Linked DNA regions of Arabidopsis thaliana. The protein of the gene in region 1 interacts with the protein of each later gene in a biochemical or structural test. Each region holds a gene or a part of one and is shown on either strand. Other genes may lie near its edges.

Region 1 (7,586 bases):
ACCATCGTTCTGTTTACCCCAGCTTGAACCACCCCCACCACCATCTTGCTTTCCCCAGCTTGATCCTCCACCAGAATCATTCTGCTTCCCCCAGCTCGATCCATTGCTAGTCTCGTTCTGCTTACCCCAGGCAGAACCACTGCCTCCACCACCATCTTGTTTACCCCAGCTTGAACCACCCCCACCACCGTCTTGCTTGCCCCAGCTAGATCCCCCACCAGCATCACTCTGCTTTCCCCAGCTCGATCCACCACTAGTATTGTTCTGCTTACCCCAAGCAGAACCACTATCACCACCACCATCCTGCTTACCCCAGCTCGAACCATCCCCACCACTGTCTTGCTTGCCCCAGCTAGATCCCCCACCAGCATCATTCTGCTTGCCCCAGCTAGATCCACCACCACTACCATCGTTCTGTTTACCCCAGCTTGAACCAACACCATTGTCTTGCTTTCCCCAGCTAGATCCACCACCAGCATCATTCTCTTTACCCCAGCTTGAACCGCCCCCATCGCCATCTTGCTTGCCCCAGCTAGATCCGCCACTTGGTTTACTCCATGGAGCCGGATCCTACAGTCATTGGAAAATTACAATATGAGACTTCAACAGCCTACAAAAATAAAATAAGAAAGTTTTTTCTCAAACTAACCTCAGAATTACCGAAGGAGCTTCCCCTCCCAAACTGATCCCTGCCACCTCGACGACCTCCTCCTCTTCTCCCACCAAACCCACGTCCTCCCCTATCAAATGTTTGTTCTGAGTACCCTCCCTCATCCTTCTTACCCCACGACGATCCTCCATCATCCTTCTTACCCCACGACGATTCTCCATCATCCTTCTTACCCCACGACGATTCTCCATCATCCTTCTTACCCCACAACGATCCTCCATCATCCTCTTTGCCCCAAGAAGATCCTCCATCATCCTTTTTTCCCCACAACGATCCTCCATCATCCTTTTTGCCCCAAGAAGATCCTCCATCGTCCTTCTTACCCCATGATGATCCTCCATCAAACTTTTTCTCCCAAGACGATCCTCCGTCATCCTTTTGACCGTCATCTTTCTTACCCCACGATGATCCTCCATCATCCTTATTACCGTCATCCTTTTTACCCCACGAGCCTCCGTCATCCTTTTTACCCCACGATGCCGCTCCGTCACCCTTTTTACCCCATGAAGAGCCATCATTTGGTTGGCCCCAGTCAGGAACTCCCTTACTATTGGCATTGGAATCTTCTGCTGACTTGTTCCAACCAGAAGAACCATCTTTTTTCTTCCCTGAACCAAAATCTCCACATTGATTACTCCATGCAGATCCTCCCTTGCTCTCGTCAGAGCCTTTATCCTGTTGTCCCCAGGAAACTCCATCTTTCTTACTTGCGCTGGAATTTCCATCTTTGTTTCCCCAACTAGATTCTCCATCTGATCCCCCTTTCTTACCCCAAGACGATTCTTCTTTCTTCTGACTTGATTCAGAAGCTTCACATAGTTTACCCCATACCGAGTCCTCATCTTGCTTATTACCACCAGAGCTTCCACCATGCGTACCCCAGGAACCTAAATCTGCAACATTGGAAGTAGAAGCTCCTTGTTTTTCCCACGAAGAAGCTTCAACATTTGAAGCACTTGTATCTCCCCATCCACTAACAGTGCCAGCTTCAGAAGCAGGTGTTTTACCCCAGGGATTCCAACCACCAGGTTGATCACTAGCCGAGGCAGGTTTGTTCTCAGCTGCTGCATTGGCCCATGCTGAAGTATTATCATCTGCAACTGTTGGCTGCAGAGTAGAAACCTTGTGACATTAAGAAATCTGCGAGTTCCTTGAGCCCTTTGACGCTAAAAGAGGTGTAAATGTAAAAGTAACGACATAAAAGTATTAAGTTCAAGACTTACCGAGACGTCAGACGTAGGCTTACTGCCGCCCCATGGGTTCCTGTAAGGAGGACATGAGATCAAAATTTTGTTACAGCGATTTAGGCAATAAATCAGCTCAGGGAGAAATTCATATTATTATTAACACACTTCTCACGGCACAGTTGAACCATGTTACGTTCAATATTGAGACTCTCATGCCTAAAATCTATATATCAAGGGACAAAAACCAGCAAAAAAAAACAACCCCAAACCGCAGAAGGAATCAACACAAAAATCAGTTGAAGAAAGCTTATCATCCCAATAATTTGTTTACATCCCAGTAGTTATATCTGAAGGAACTAGATCCAAATTTGAAGAATATCCAATTATATCTAAGGAAACCATAACTACATTTGGCTACATAATTGGGAATTAGACTTACGAGTCAGTAGAAGGGCCTCCTATATTCCAGTTACCACCCTCACTTGACGTCCCTGCTCCTATCGCCCAGTCTACCATACGAGAAAAGAGAACAGTTAAAAGGAAATAGGATAGATGGCTAGCAATGTTCAACTGGTTCAGGGCATTTAAGAACAAAGCAGGTATGCTATACGTATTTGCAGCCAAATTGAAAAGAATTCTGAATGTGCACAAGAAACACCAACCTCCAGTGCTGCTTTCTGTTCCAAGCATGCCAAAAGGTTGAAAGGAACCAGTACCCGCATCCCCACTTTTATAGCAAACAGAGCGTGTAAGAGAAATAGGAATTTGACAGAGAGGACAATGAATGATAAAGATGCATGGACAGAGTCAAGAGTCCGAGTAAAGAATTCAAGAGATTCATGTGAGCTTACCTTGTACTTAGCACAGTGTTTCTGTCGCGAACCTCAGCAAGATGCTCACTTTTAACTGAATAGTATCATTGAAAATATTCATAAGCACAATAGAACAGTATTATATCAAAGGAGTAAACGCATGAAAACAAACCTGTGAAAATTTTATGCTGGGAATCAAGCTTGACTGTAACATCAGAATAACGTAAAGCTATTACACGGCAGAGATACCCCTTCAATGGACCCACCCGTATCCTCAGCTTTTGGCCTATAGAATACGTGCTACCTATGTCTCCTTGGTTGGCTGCATTTGATTATCATTTATGAGAAGCCTAAGGTATTAAAAAGAAGCTAGATTATAATAACCCTCCATACTTACAGCTATTGTATCTTTCCCTGGGCTGCCACTCTTTTTCAGGAGATAGCGGCGATTTTGGGGAGGATACAAAATCTTCAAAAGCTGTACCATCAAATCCACCAGTCTGAGAAAAAAACAGAATGTTATCAGAACGCGAAGATCTTGCAATTGTATCAAAAGACAGCTGCAGGGACTGGGCTATTTTACCTTCTCATTGGACTCTTCAGTAAAGAGTTTAACTTTCTCACATGATTGTGATTTGCAGCAGAAATATCCACCATTTTCTTCCTCGCTCTCATCATAAAGGAATATGATCCCTCTGTATACTTGCCTTACAACTCCTTGTTTACCCTAAATTTATAATTTATGCATGAAAACTAATAAGTTTTTACACAAAATTGTTCACCTAATTATGTGAAAGAAAAGTGCAACAGAAACAAACAAGAAAATGAAATTTAAAATCACACCTCGGATGGGCCTTTGGAAATCTTCACAACATCATTTACTGATATTTGTTTCTTGTTCAGATCCAAGGCAGTAAATTTTGAATCAAACGGTCCATTCTGCATTTCTTTTTTTCCAACAGTGACTACAACGGGTCCATCTATACCTTCTTTCAGAACCTGTAACATTTGAAAATCATCAGAGACAGGCCATAGGGTATTAAGAGATGGTGAATAACTACATACCTTGTAACCGTCACCTTTGTCATCCACACCCACAATCAGACCAAAGTCTTTTCGACTACAAAGGGAAAGATAGGAAGTGCTTAACATATGAAATTACAACAAAGACTTGCAAAAAAGTACAGTTATGGACGAATCCTTACCTGAAACAAACTAGATTATATAACTCATAGCTACTTTCTGACTTGAAATCTGATGAACCTTCTCCTTTTCCACCCCTTGACCCTTCTCCTTTTCCACCCCCTGATCCTTCTCCTTTTCCACCCCCTGATCCTTCTCCTTTCCCACCCTCTCTGCAGGTTGGAAGAATCTTTTTCTTCCTTTCTTCACCATAAATTTCTGAGATCCACTCTACATCACCAGTTTCTTTTCGGTCTACAGGCGTAAATTTTAGTAACTCATCCTTCGTTGGTATAACCCCCCAGGAAGATATTGAATCTAAGGATACTTTCTTATAGAGATACCCATCTTTCAGCATCAGACTATCAAGATGTTCAAAAGTTATTCCAGTATCACGATCTCGCCTCACTTGAATGAGAGGTCTGAACTCCCTGTGATAAAAGAGAGGAGAAGAAAGATTAGAAAGGTGGTAATTATTTACCAAACGAGAAGAAAAGATCAAGCTTTTACTCGAGCTCGCTTGAACTGATCAATCTTGGAGCTGGAGTCTGGCCTTTTTGGACAGTAACTCCCCCACCCTGCACCAGAAAGTTAGAGTAAAGCACAGAGCAAACGATAAGATGACATGAACGCACAAGAAAAACAGTCCCAAAATTAGTGGCACAGACAAATAAATGAGCGAGGAGACAGGGTAGCTACATATTTCTGGGTCAAGGCCTGAATATCAATCCTCGGAATTAGCTTTATTAGTGCTTTATTCCGAGTGTCACTCACAGCCACAATCTACAAGGACATATAACATAAACAGATTAGGAGGTAGCCTTACCAAGAAAAGAATATGAAAAGGAAACATATACAGCAAAGTAAATTGTACCTGAGCAAGATCTCCTTTGTATTTACCATTCTTAACACGAGCCCATGTTCCCTCAGAAACTTTTTTAGTTTTTTTTTGGACAGTTAGCAGATTTGGAGTTTCGGCTTTAGGAAGTAACACCATCCGAGTAGCGTATATACCAACTAAACTCTTGCATGCCTAGGAAAATTAGACAAATCAGAATGACATACACATTATGATTATCCCCAAGCAACATTCTCCAAACTGTCAGATAAGTACGAGAATAATCCAACATAGGCATGCTAAATGTTCAATACCTCAAGAACATCATGTTCCTTGTCCGCTTCTATGAAAATGAAACCTTTGACATGGTCCACAGAAAAAACAGATATGATCTCCAATTTGGTGCCTATCTTTCTCAGCTCAACAAATTTGTGCATGAGACAGAAAACGGATCGCCTCTCCCGTCCAATCTACAGGAACAAACCAAATGGAGTGAGCAGAAGTAAGAACATAGTCATACAGGGATAAAGCATAAGTAGAAGAAGCCTTAGTTTGACATACCGCACACTTGACTTTCCATATAGGAGGATCCTTGGAGGTTGGAGCAAGAGCATCCATCTCAATGGCATCTTTGATATCATCATCAGCATATCTAAGAAAACCAGAACCTGGCTTGTATCTTTCTTCCATTATTCTATCAAATTCCTCCTCGTTTAAATCTTCTTCCTTGGGAAAAACAAAGGATGATTTGCCCTTTTCTCCCTTGCCAGCCTTACTACTCTCTTCCACCTCAGGCTCGTCTTCCATATCTGCATCAAAAGAATAGTAAGATAATAAAGTGTGGAACTTTCTGCAATGTTCAAGCTTTAAGAGTATGAAAGCCTTAAAAGTTAAAACTAGACAAAACAGCTCGAAATCAAACGAAAACAAAATGCAAACCCTAAACCCTAGTCACGGAATCAGCCATTCGACAGAGATGACCTAAAAATCGCCACTTTAGATGGTAAAAATCTCAGTAGAAACAAAAACAGACACAATCGGAGACCTCACAAAAGAAGAAACGAAGCAATGAAACCATGCAAAGAAGAAAATCAACGAACCCAGAGAAGATAATGATAAATTACCGTTAAGGAAACCTAATCCGTCATCATCTTCGTCGGAGCTGCCTCCGTAGTAGCCAACTTCAGCTGATTCTTCGAAGAACTGAAGAACCTCAGGGTTTTTGCGCTTCTTAATCCTCAAACCTTCATCTCTGAATTCGACGGAGTTTTTCCTTTTCTGTCCGCCGGAATACGAATCACTACCGGCGACCTGTTTACCCTTTCCCTTGCGATCCATCGTCTTCTTCACGGTTAGTTTAGGGCTTTCACAATTGCATTTCTTTTGAGAGACAAGTAGCAGAGAGAGTGAAGAAAACGTTTATAGATGTGATTGTTTTCCGACTTTTGAGTGGCTTTTTTTTTTACTCTTTACTCTTTTAAGGCCTTTTTATTATCCAATCGATTTGGACTCTTTATTGTTTTAATTAATTTCTCAACTTTTCTTTTGTCTCTACAATAATATTCTGCTTCGTTTTATTTGCCTATTTGGTAATAGATTGAACTTATAGGAAAAAACGAAAATTTTGACAATATGAAGCAATATGTACAGTATACAAAACAATAAATCAAAATTTTAGAATAACATGCGGATGCCTAAGACACTCGTCTCTTGTACATTGATGATGAAACTAAAAAGGCTAGTTATGTGTGCAAGGTTTAACATTGACTGACGAAGCTCAAAAGTCATGTTATGGTCCAAAACAAACCAAAAATAATAAAGGATCAAAATACAAAGCTAAACAGGTCCGCAAACTAATCATATATAAATAAAAAAGACAAGTCTTTTACACCTATAACGCTTACAGAGATATTCATTACCACAAGCAACACACACGACTGAGTGTATAGAGCTCTAACCAAGCATCATTCTCACTTTCTTTCATTAATGTGTCTTAATAACGGTCAAAAGTGGACGACGACGGATAAGCTCCACCACCACCACTTCTGCTCGGTCTCTCATAAGGAGCACCGGCTCTGCTTCTAAACCCTCTTCCCTCCTCTCCTCCTCCACGGATGGGACCACCAGCTCTACCACCACCGTACCTGTCACTGCCTGCACTCGGGGCTATGTCTCTCTCAAAGGACCGAGCTTTGTCATAGCTCCCTGGAGGATAACGGTCTGATCCACGGCTGTATCTATCACCACCTGCAAACCGATCAGCCGGGGCTGCATACCTGTAAAATCACAGATAAGAATAAAGTTATGTAAGAAAAGCAAGTCACTTTGATAACCTTACAATAATCTGAGTTGCATTAGAAACTTGATTCTAACCTGTCACTGGCGTATCGATCACGGGGTATGTAGGCTTCTCTGCTGTCAAACCTGTCTCTAGCACCATAGCGTGCAGCACCGTCGTATCGATCATCTATGTATCGTTCGCGGTCCACATAGCGGTCACGGTCAGCATAGCGGTCAACACGTCCATCAGATCCTCCATACGCACTAGCACGTGAAGAAAAACCACCAACAGGTCCTCCACGACCACCACCAGCAGAAGGACAATCACGGGCCCAGTGCCCAACCCGTCCACACTTGAAGCATTCATCTTCACCAACACGCCCACCTCCACCTCCACCTCCACCAAAGCTTCCTTTTCCAGCAATCGAGTAGCCACTGTCTCTGCCACCTCTAGAGCCATGACTTTCTCCATCATCTCGCCCCAGTTTTGGTTCAGCTCTGTTCACTGAGATGACCCGATCACCAAAGTCCCTTCCATGCATCTCTCTGATGGACTCATCCATAGCGCGGCGATCAGCAAAAGTGATAAACCCGAATCCACGTGAACGACCAGTATC
Region 2 (7,821 bases), on another chromosome or scaffold:
TATTGTGACGTCCTAAACTTCAGAAATATCCACTACAACAAGTCGTGAACTCTTAACTTTGACTAGGTTCTGTCATTTGTTTTGGTTTCAGTTTTTAATCATGAGCACTACACAAAAGGCTTTGCTTTGTCTAGGTTATGTATGTAGTCTGTTTCCAATGCAAGAACGATTTAGACAAAAGGGTAACTTCCTGAACTTAGATATTCACTACAATAAGTCTTTAATTAAACAACCGAATTGTTAAGGGGGACAAAAGCATATTCAAACCCCAACAGGCAAACAAGGCTGGCGATAATAGTCACAAAAAACATTCCAAGCCTTAGTGTCGATGCCTGGCTTCAAGGCCGAGAGAGATCCTAAGCTGAAAGTCAGATAGCCTATTGAACTACTACTTACTTACTGAGCCAAGTAGGGCTGCTCATTTAACAGAAGAACATGGAGTTGGCGACGTTGTCTTTGAGTCTTGGGAGCTGTGCAACAGAGATTGGTCCTGGAGCTGTGATACCACCATGGCTTGATGATGTCTCAGACTGATCTTCAAACTTCATGAACGTCCCAAGCTGAGCAGCTGCCAAGTGAGCATAGCAGATCGGCGCAACTGCACAAAAAATTAAAATGTCAGTTATTAAGAGAACAAATGAAGACGACTTTAAATCGATGGAGTAGAGAAAACAGTTATGGTAATTACCAACAGAAATGGCACTGGTGCTTCTTTGGTACCTGGAATTTTGCCAAAGAAAGAAATCAGATAATTTCTGTTATCATCACAATCGAAGTTGTCACAAAAAATGTAATGAAGGTTGAATAAGAGACTACATACACATAGGAGAGCGAGTGGACAAGTTCCTGAAGTTCGTCAGCTGAAAAACCAATCTCATCATACAGGACGTGGTAGTGAGTTGGGCGGGTAGTTCCCTAATTCAGAACATAAAGAGTATTAAAACGATTCAGAGGAGCAAACATTAACAAATAAAGTTTTGAGTTGATAGATGAAACTTACAATCATTCCAGCGTGAGCACAGAGGTAGAAATCATTGTTCTTTGGGTGACATATTTTGTTGTCAATGATTGTCCCTGCAAAATAACCAAAACCCCCATGAGATAGAGATCAGCTATGTGTCAAAAAAGGTTATAATATAGATTTGTCAATCACCTGGAGGAACATTTTCAGGAGACGTTGGCTGGAAGAACTTGGTATGATGATTCTTTTGAGCCACCAACAAAAGGAACTTTGGGTTCCAATTTGCGTCTAAGAGCTTGCAAGCCTGAGGAAAGAGAAATGCAATTAAGTACTAACAGAAGAAGAAAATTACACTGAGAAACTTTTATTTTGAAGTTTCAACTACCTCGATGATCTGATCAAGTTCAATATTCAGAACCTGATTGAATTGAGATTCACTCACACCATCCCTAGAAGCATTAAACATCGAAACAACCAATATGAGAAAATAAAGATGGGAAAAATGAAGAGACAAAAGCTCTGATGTAACATACCTGAAAATTATGATATGCTCTGGTTTTCTCTTATTCGAGCTGGTGTAGAAATCTACCAGCAACTCCCTGCAATCAACAAATAAAGTTACATAGATACTTAAACCAGACTTCATGCAAAGATTAAACAAAAGCCACATCAAGAGTTAGTGTAAGTGCACACTTGATAATGCCATCGTCTTCAGTTCCATTTTTCTTGACAAGGGACTCAATCATCTCAGCCTTAGAAGGCTGTGTCCGAACAGATGCTCTATATTTGGATATCAGTGGCCACTCCCTAGAACTCACCACCTAAGTTAATCATAACAAAAGAGACAACTAAATATCAGTCTTGAAGAACTAGCCAAACTAAAAAGCAAACAACAGCAGTGAGTAAACATTTTACAGCAGCGATGGACGGGACATCAGACTGTCCAGGAGATCCATGTGAAACATCCATCCCAAGGATAATGGTTGGAACCTTAGAAATCACAGTGAACGCAGGTGTACGCTCTACACTTAACATTGAGTTCAGGCCTCCAAGCTGTAGTTATATGTTATCAGAGATTGCACACAAGAAGCAAAAACCATTTCCAAAAGAGAAAAAAGGAGAGAGATCACCTTTGCATTAATCTTCAGAAGTAAGTTAGTAAGATACTGATCATTAGGTTGCCGCGTTGGAGCCATGCATTGAGTAACAATGCCAAATTCAGTTAAGTTTTTTTTCTTCCATGGACCTGATGAAGGATTCAAAGTATTTATCCAAGGAAACTTCTATTATATAAAACAAAAAGATGATTGAAGACTGGATTTAAGAGATATCTAACCATAGAGATCACTGTTCTTTTTGTCAGGGAGCACACATAGTATGAATTGTGGGACACCAGGGAGTTTCGATTGGATGTCCTTAAACATGTTCTCAACACGAATCATAGGAGGAGCACGGCGGAATTGATTACCCTCCTCAAACACTTGAAAGGGAGAAGCAATTTCCTGGGACAGAATACAGAAAGAAGCAGTATCTAAATTGTTGATAATCACAAACAAGTTTTCAAGAATACTAAAAACAAAAGAAGAGAATCCTGCTTACAATTCCTTTTGATCCTCCAATTTTTATCAGATCATCAACAACTTGACGTACATTACAGCGAGCAGAGAAATTGACAACAACCCATCGTTGAATTTTGGTGGGCTCAACAAATTCCTGTACAACAAAGGGAATCAGACTCTCTGAACAGGTAAAATACAAAGAAAGGCAGAGAGAAACAGCACCTTGTTGTTGAAGTTCCAGCGACCATTTCTGGGAAAGGTTTCAGATCCACATCCCATTTTCAGCTGTCAGTCAAAGAAAACAAGAGAATATTACATGTATGCAAAAGCTAAAAACAATTCATCATGTCAAAAAGTAAGCGATCGCACCATACCTTGGGAGCTGGTAGAACACGACCCTCCACCTGAGTAAAGTTGGAGCTGATCGAAATGCCACAGGATCGCAGGAGTGGTTCCGCATCATAGTTGCTAACTTTCAGAGCCTGAAAGCATGAAACCAAAGATATGTAAATTCCAGTTCACTGACAAAACAGAACAGTTATGAAGCGGTCAGGATACTTTACTTTGGACAGAACAGTCATCCTCTCTTGGGGTTTCTGTCTGGATTTCTCAACAAGGGCAGATCTTTGGAACGTGGTAAGTGCTTTTGTGTACCTCTGAAGTGGAACCAACGCGCAGAGCTGCGAAAATTCCACCACATTACATACATTAGCATGATTTTTGAAAACAAATTAATACCATGACTATGAGAACGTTGATGAGTATAAGAGGCAAACCTCGAGAGGAATGTAAGTGGGTCGCTTTGGCTTCCCAACATTGATGCAAGGCAAATCCGCAGAATATTGCAAATCAATATGCCTTGTATCGCGGAAGTAGTCAGCAACTGTAACTTCAGTAGTTTCGAACTCTCCATTTTCATTTGGGTTCCTTTTCTTCAATTCAAACCTAGACAGTGTAAAAAGCAAACTTCAGAGAACCATTTATCTTTGAAAGAGATCACAACGTCAGAAAACTAAAACAGAAACAAATGCATCTCACAACAAAGTCAAATTAGTGAATATCTTACGTTTGTTCCCTGCAAGGCTTGTCACTCAATCCGGTTATCTTGAATTCTTGGCCTGAGGGGCTGACCTTTACCCTTAGGTTCTTAAGGGTTCGTTTAGCCTGTTGAAAACAACATGTTAAAATGTGTCAAGCCAAGCAAAAGAGGTAAGGAACATGTTTAGATTATGAAAAAGCCACATATCATAATAAGTAGTTAACCTTAGACCAGTCAATCGAATAAGGGTCCCTAGCATTTTGGTTAGCAATTAGGAAATCAACCACTGGACCAGGCTTGATGATCATGGTGGTTGTAACATCTAGCATAAGAACAAAACATAAACTATTAGACACTAAATTATTGCTACAACAGACAGAATCAAACACCAACATCAAGTACAAGTGAAATTATGTACCCATATTAAGTGACATGCCACCCTGCGTTGTTCTGAAACTGGAGTGAAATCCCCTACATCCTAAGATGTTACCACCAACTGGTTCACAGTTGGTTGGATCATTGTGGAAAAAAGACTGTCGAACAAGCAAGCAACCTCTGCAATTTGTACCATAGGTATTAGAAAGACAAATATATGAGATTAACAAAATACATATATACACTTGACACTTACTGTCTAGCAGCATGTTGCCTCAATATGATATCAAGAACCCGTATTGCCTCCTGGGAATTCTCTGATTCTTGTCCCCGCATTGCATTAGCAAGAGCTTGAAGAGGAATTTTGGCCGCATAGCTGATCTCCACTCTAAAGTTTTTGGACCGGTTAGGCCTACGCAGTCTTTTCCTATCACCATCACTTGGACTTTCATTCCCATTGGGGCTTCCGTTTCCATTAGCCCTGCTCACAAAATCCTTACTAAGAACAAAAACTAAAGCACACAACCAATGTAATGACTATAGTCAGATGATGTTTTACCTTGTAGCAGATACTTCCTCAAGCACCACAGAAAAATCCATCTTGTTACTAGGCAAAGCTCCATATGTAAACAACGTCTTCTCACCGTCATAAGCAAACTCTTTACCATCCAGATCAGAATGGTAAGTCTGATGCACCTTGTCAAGGATTTTTCTTCCAACACCCTTTTGTTCAACAGGACGACCATCATCATAGAATAGAGCCACCTGTACAAACCCACAAATAATCCCATTAGTTTGACATCATTCAGAACCAAATAACAGAATAAGTCAACATAACAGTAGCAAAAAAACATACACACTGCATCCATTCTAGTGACATCAATCATCCAACAAAAATAACACAAAATAGTTTCAAAAACTTACACTGTAGTGGAAGAAATGACCCTGAAGATTAGCCACATCGACTTTGAAATGATTTGTTAACAAGGGGATCTTTTGGCCCCTTGTTCCAAATCCTTTTCGAGCCATAGGAACTCGAACTGGCCCCTTCTTCTCAGCAAGTTCAGTTTTAACACGAACTGGTTCCACATTTGGAGGTATAACTGGTGGAGGAGGTGGTAATGCCTCAGTAACCCCACTCCCGTTTGCCCCATTTGCTGATTCAAGATCAGCTCCGTTACCATTTGTTGAATCCATCTCCTGCTCAAAGAAACCAAACAAAAAAAAAGTTCAGATTTCAACATTTATAAGCAAAAGACACAATCCTATACAAAACCAAGCAAAAATTTCAACATATATGAGTTTGTTCTGTCGCAATCTAAACAAACATCAAAGCAAAAATGGTAAAATTTGAGAAAGTTTGCAACTTTCCTTCATAAATCCCAAAAGAGAAGTAAAATCTTTGACTAAAACTAAAAAGCCCCAATTTTTTTGACGCATGCAAGTGTAAGCAAACATGTATAACACGGAAAAACGTCAGCTTTCATGACATAGTAACAAAATTGCGTCAGCCATGTGACAGTTCATAGCTTTATTCAAAAGACAAACCCAGAAAGGTGACATCTTTGAAGCAAAAACCTCATCAAAAATCTCACCTTTAAAACAAAAAAACCCACAAAATCAAAGTGAAGAAGCTCTATAAGCAAGAAAAATCCAAACTTTTTAACACATTAACTCTAAAATCTACAAAAGAACACTGCATGTGAAGTATTCAAGCTTGAGAGTAAGAATTTGTAAAAAAAAACTCGGAAAAAATAGGTTTTTGATATGAAAAACACAGAAACCACACAAAAAGTCACAAACCCAGAGATTAAAGAAGCCACATTTCTAAGAAATACACAAAACCTATGAGCTAAAGAACATAAACCCTACAGTAGAATCAAACAAAAAAGCACACTCACAAGACCCTAAAATCATCACCTTTGAGTTTATCGATGAAACAAAAACGAAACCCTAGCCGAAACAAGAGAGGATTATTTTTCTTTCTTTTTTTTTCAATTTCTCTCTTTTGCTTTTTTATTTTACTCTCAAAATTTAGCTCCGACCTGAGAGGAAAATGGTTCAGTGACAGTAGCATAAATCGAGGATTCTTCGCTTTCAGTTATGTTCCTCTACGTCACGGCTCCATCATAGTAGAGCTACTCTTACAATCTTGACCGTTAAAATGGTTGACTTATGTTATTGACTTCGCTTTGTGTCCCGCTAGATTATTTTAAATTTTTTAATTTCAATTGGTAGTGGTGGTAGACAAACCTTCTGTGTTCTAATATTGAATGTGCGCATTAATTGACACGTACATGCTACATAACTATGGATTTAACAACTGTGTTACAATAATTATAAATTATTATTAAGCACAATATAAAATTTAAACAGTTTTATGTCTCCTAAACTATGTAACTTATTGTCAATTAGTTTATGTGCTTCAATGATCTCGTTTATGGTTGATCCTCACTGGAATCCATTTTTGATTATTGACTAAAAAGGTATCTAAGCCGCAATTATAAAAATTATAAATTGGTGAATAGAGATTAGGTGGATTCAATAAAGAAAACTATAATTGGAGATGATTCTTGATCTGTGATTAAGGTTATAAGTGGAGAAAGACAAATAGTCAAGTGTGTGACATTTGGAACTTACATAGCTAGCCAGCTGGAGAATGAGGGTATCTACAAATATTCTCTATAGTTTAGTTATATTACACACATCGGCAAGTTAGCTATATATGGTTAATTACAGATGCAATTGGAACCAAAATTAAAATGATACTCCACTTAGAGAGACATCACATTTTTGAAGTATATAAGATCAGGAGGTGCTTGAATTATGTTATTAATATTATACATTGTGTACACTTGAGATATAGGATATAATAAATTTAGTTAGTTAGTGTTGACATATAGTTTTTAAGTGTTTGACATTTGGAACGTACGTAGTTAGCCAAGCCAGCTGGAGGACAAAAACTAGCTAGTTGGTGAAAATGGATATCTACAATTACCTTCTAGCTAGCTAGGTGGCTAAAGACAGATGCACTCGGAACCAAAACAAACAAGATACCCGACTTGAAGAGACCACATTTTAAAGCATACAAGATCAAGAGAGGTGTTTGAGTTGTGTCTACGTTCAGACCCAAAGAAAATTGAAAGAAAACGATTTCTGGCCTAACCATCTAGCAAGTGATATTTAGGATCGGATGCTTTGTAACTTAAAGGAATTTGTGTGCATTGTTTCTTAACCATTGTGATAGTTTACCAAATTGATTTTGAATTTGGCTAAGTTACGTTAGAGGCTTTTACCACACTAATCATGAATTAGCCTAATTGTTAGAGGTTCATTATCTTGAAAATATGTAGATCGATTGCATGATTTCTAACATCTTGATTGTTCAATTTATCTATCTTGTTTATTTGCTCATTTTAGTTCTTAATTTTGTTAGTTTAGTTTTCAATTATCTACTATATATAGTTTAATTGCTTTCATTTATCCCTTCTTTTATTCTATGCATGTTAGGGTATTAGTGAGACCGTAGATTCTCATACCGTCTTATGGCAAATGATTTCATCATAATTTAATGTGTTATACTGTTATGGCATTTTCCCGTGGATTTGATTCAATCTTTAGTTACTCCAATGACATACCACGCATATGCGTAATGTGTATTTATGGTTAAAATTACATCACATGAGAGTATCGGACAATTTACAAAAATGTATACGAGGTAGTGTATAAGACGGTGTATGGGATAATTCATATGGTTCAGTACAAAATAATATACTAGGCTGTGTGCGTGAAGGGATGTATGAGATGGTATAAACAGAGGTGTATAAGATGATGTACAAGGCCGTGTACAAGATAATGTGAGATTATGTAAAAGATAGTATACAAGA

Evidence for each region. The genes of interacting proteins can lie anywhere in the genome.
Region 2: the proteins of KTF1 (region 1) and AGO4 form a complex in vitro, tested with the Arabidopsis thaliana proteins (2 studies listed by BioGRID).

The regions. Positions count from the first base shown.
Region 1 is NC_003076.8:1,194,510-1,202,095, reverse strand, and holds the start of KTF1 (kow domain-containing transcription factor 1), read right to left. Parts: upstream 6,028-7,586; coding exon 5,814-6,027; intron 5,499-5,813; coding exon 5,251-5,498; intron 5,160-5,250; coding exon 5,004-5,159; intron 4,885-5,003; coding exon 4,726-4,884; intron 4,635-4,725; coding exon 4,551-4,634; intron 4,430-4,550; coding exon 4,362-4,429; intron 4,283-4,361; coding exon 3,875-4,282; intron 3,790-3,874; coding exon 3,735-3,789; intron 3,669-3,734; coding exon 3,513-3,668; intron 3,397-3,512; coding exon 3,253-3,396; intron 3,170-3,252; coding exon 3,067-3,169; intron 2,992-3,066; coding exon 2,842-2,991; intron 2,764-2,841; coding exon 2,709-2,763; intron 2,585-2,708; coding exon 2,520-2,584; intron 2,367-2,519; coding exon 2,297-2,366; intron 2,074-2,296; coding exon 2,023-2,073; intron 1,934-2,022; coding exon 1,894-1,933; intron 1,778-1,893; coding exon 650-1,777; intron 571-649; coding exon 1-570. Other genes in the region: AtRZ-1c (RNA-binding (RRM/RBD/RNP motifs) family protein with retrovirus zinc finger-like domain-containing protein), read right to left, coding at 6,683-6,965, 7,063-7,586. UniProt on the Arabidopsis thaliana protein: Effector of RNA-directed DNA methylation (RdDM) triggered by small interfering RNAs (siRNAs, 24-nt RNAs).
Region 2 is NC_003071.7:11,536,373-11,544,193, forward strand, and holds AGO4 (Argonaute family protein), read right to left. Parts: upstream 6,020-7,821; 5' UTR 5,855-6,019; exon of another isoform or gene 5,836-5,854; intron 5,135-5,835; 5' UTR 5,132-5,134; coding exon 4,859-5,131; intron 4,700-4,858; coding exon 4,494-4,699; intron 4,416-4,493; coding exon 4,191-4,415; intron 4,115-4,190; coding exon 3,978-4,114; intron 3,882-3,977; coding exon 3,784-3,881; intron 3,685-3,783; coding exon 3,587-3,684; intron 3,466-3,586; coding exon 3,297-3,465; intron 3,201-3,296; coding exon 3,084-3,200; intron 3,003-3,083; coding exon 2,895-3,002; intron 2,806-2,894; coding exon 2,743-2,805; intron 2,675-2,742; coding exon 2,561-2,674; intron 2,464-2,560; coding exon 2,298-2,463; intron 2,208-2,297; coding exon 2,092-2,207; intron 2,015-2,091; coding exon 1,877-2,014; intron 1,783-1,876; coding exon 1,655-1,782; intron 1,561-1,654; coding exon 1,495-1,560; intron 1,411-1,494; coding exon 1,347-1,410; intron 1,266-1,346; coding exon 1,154-1,265; and 10 more. UniProt on the Arabidopsis thaliana protein: Together with RDM3, required for transcriptional gene silencing (TGS) by DNA methylation and repressive histone modifications (H3K9me2) of several chromatin loci.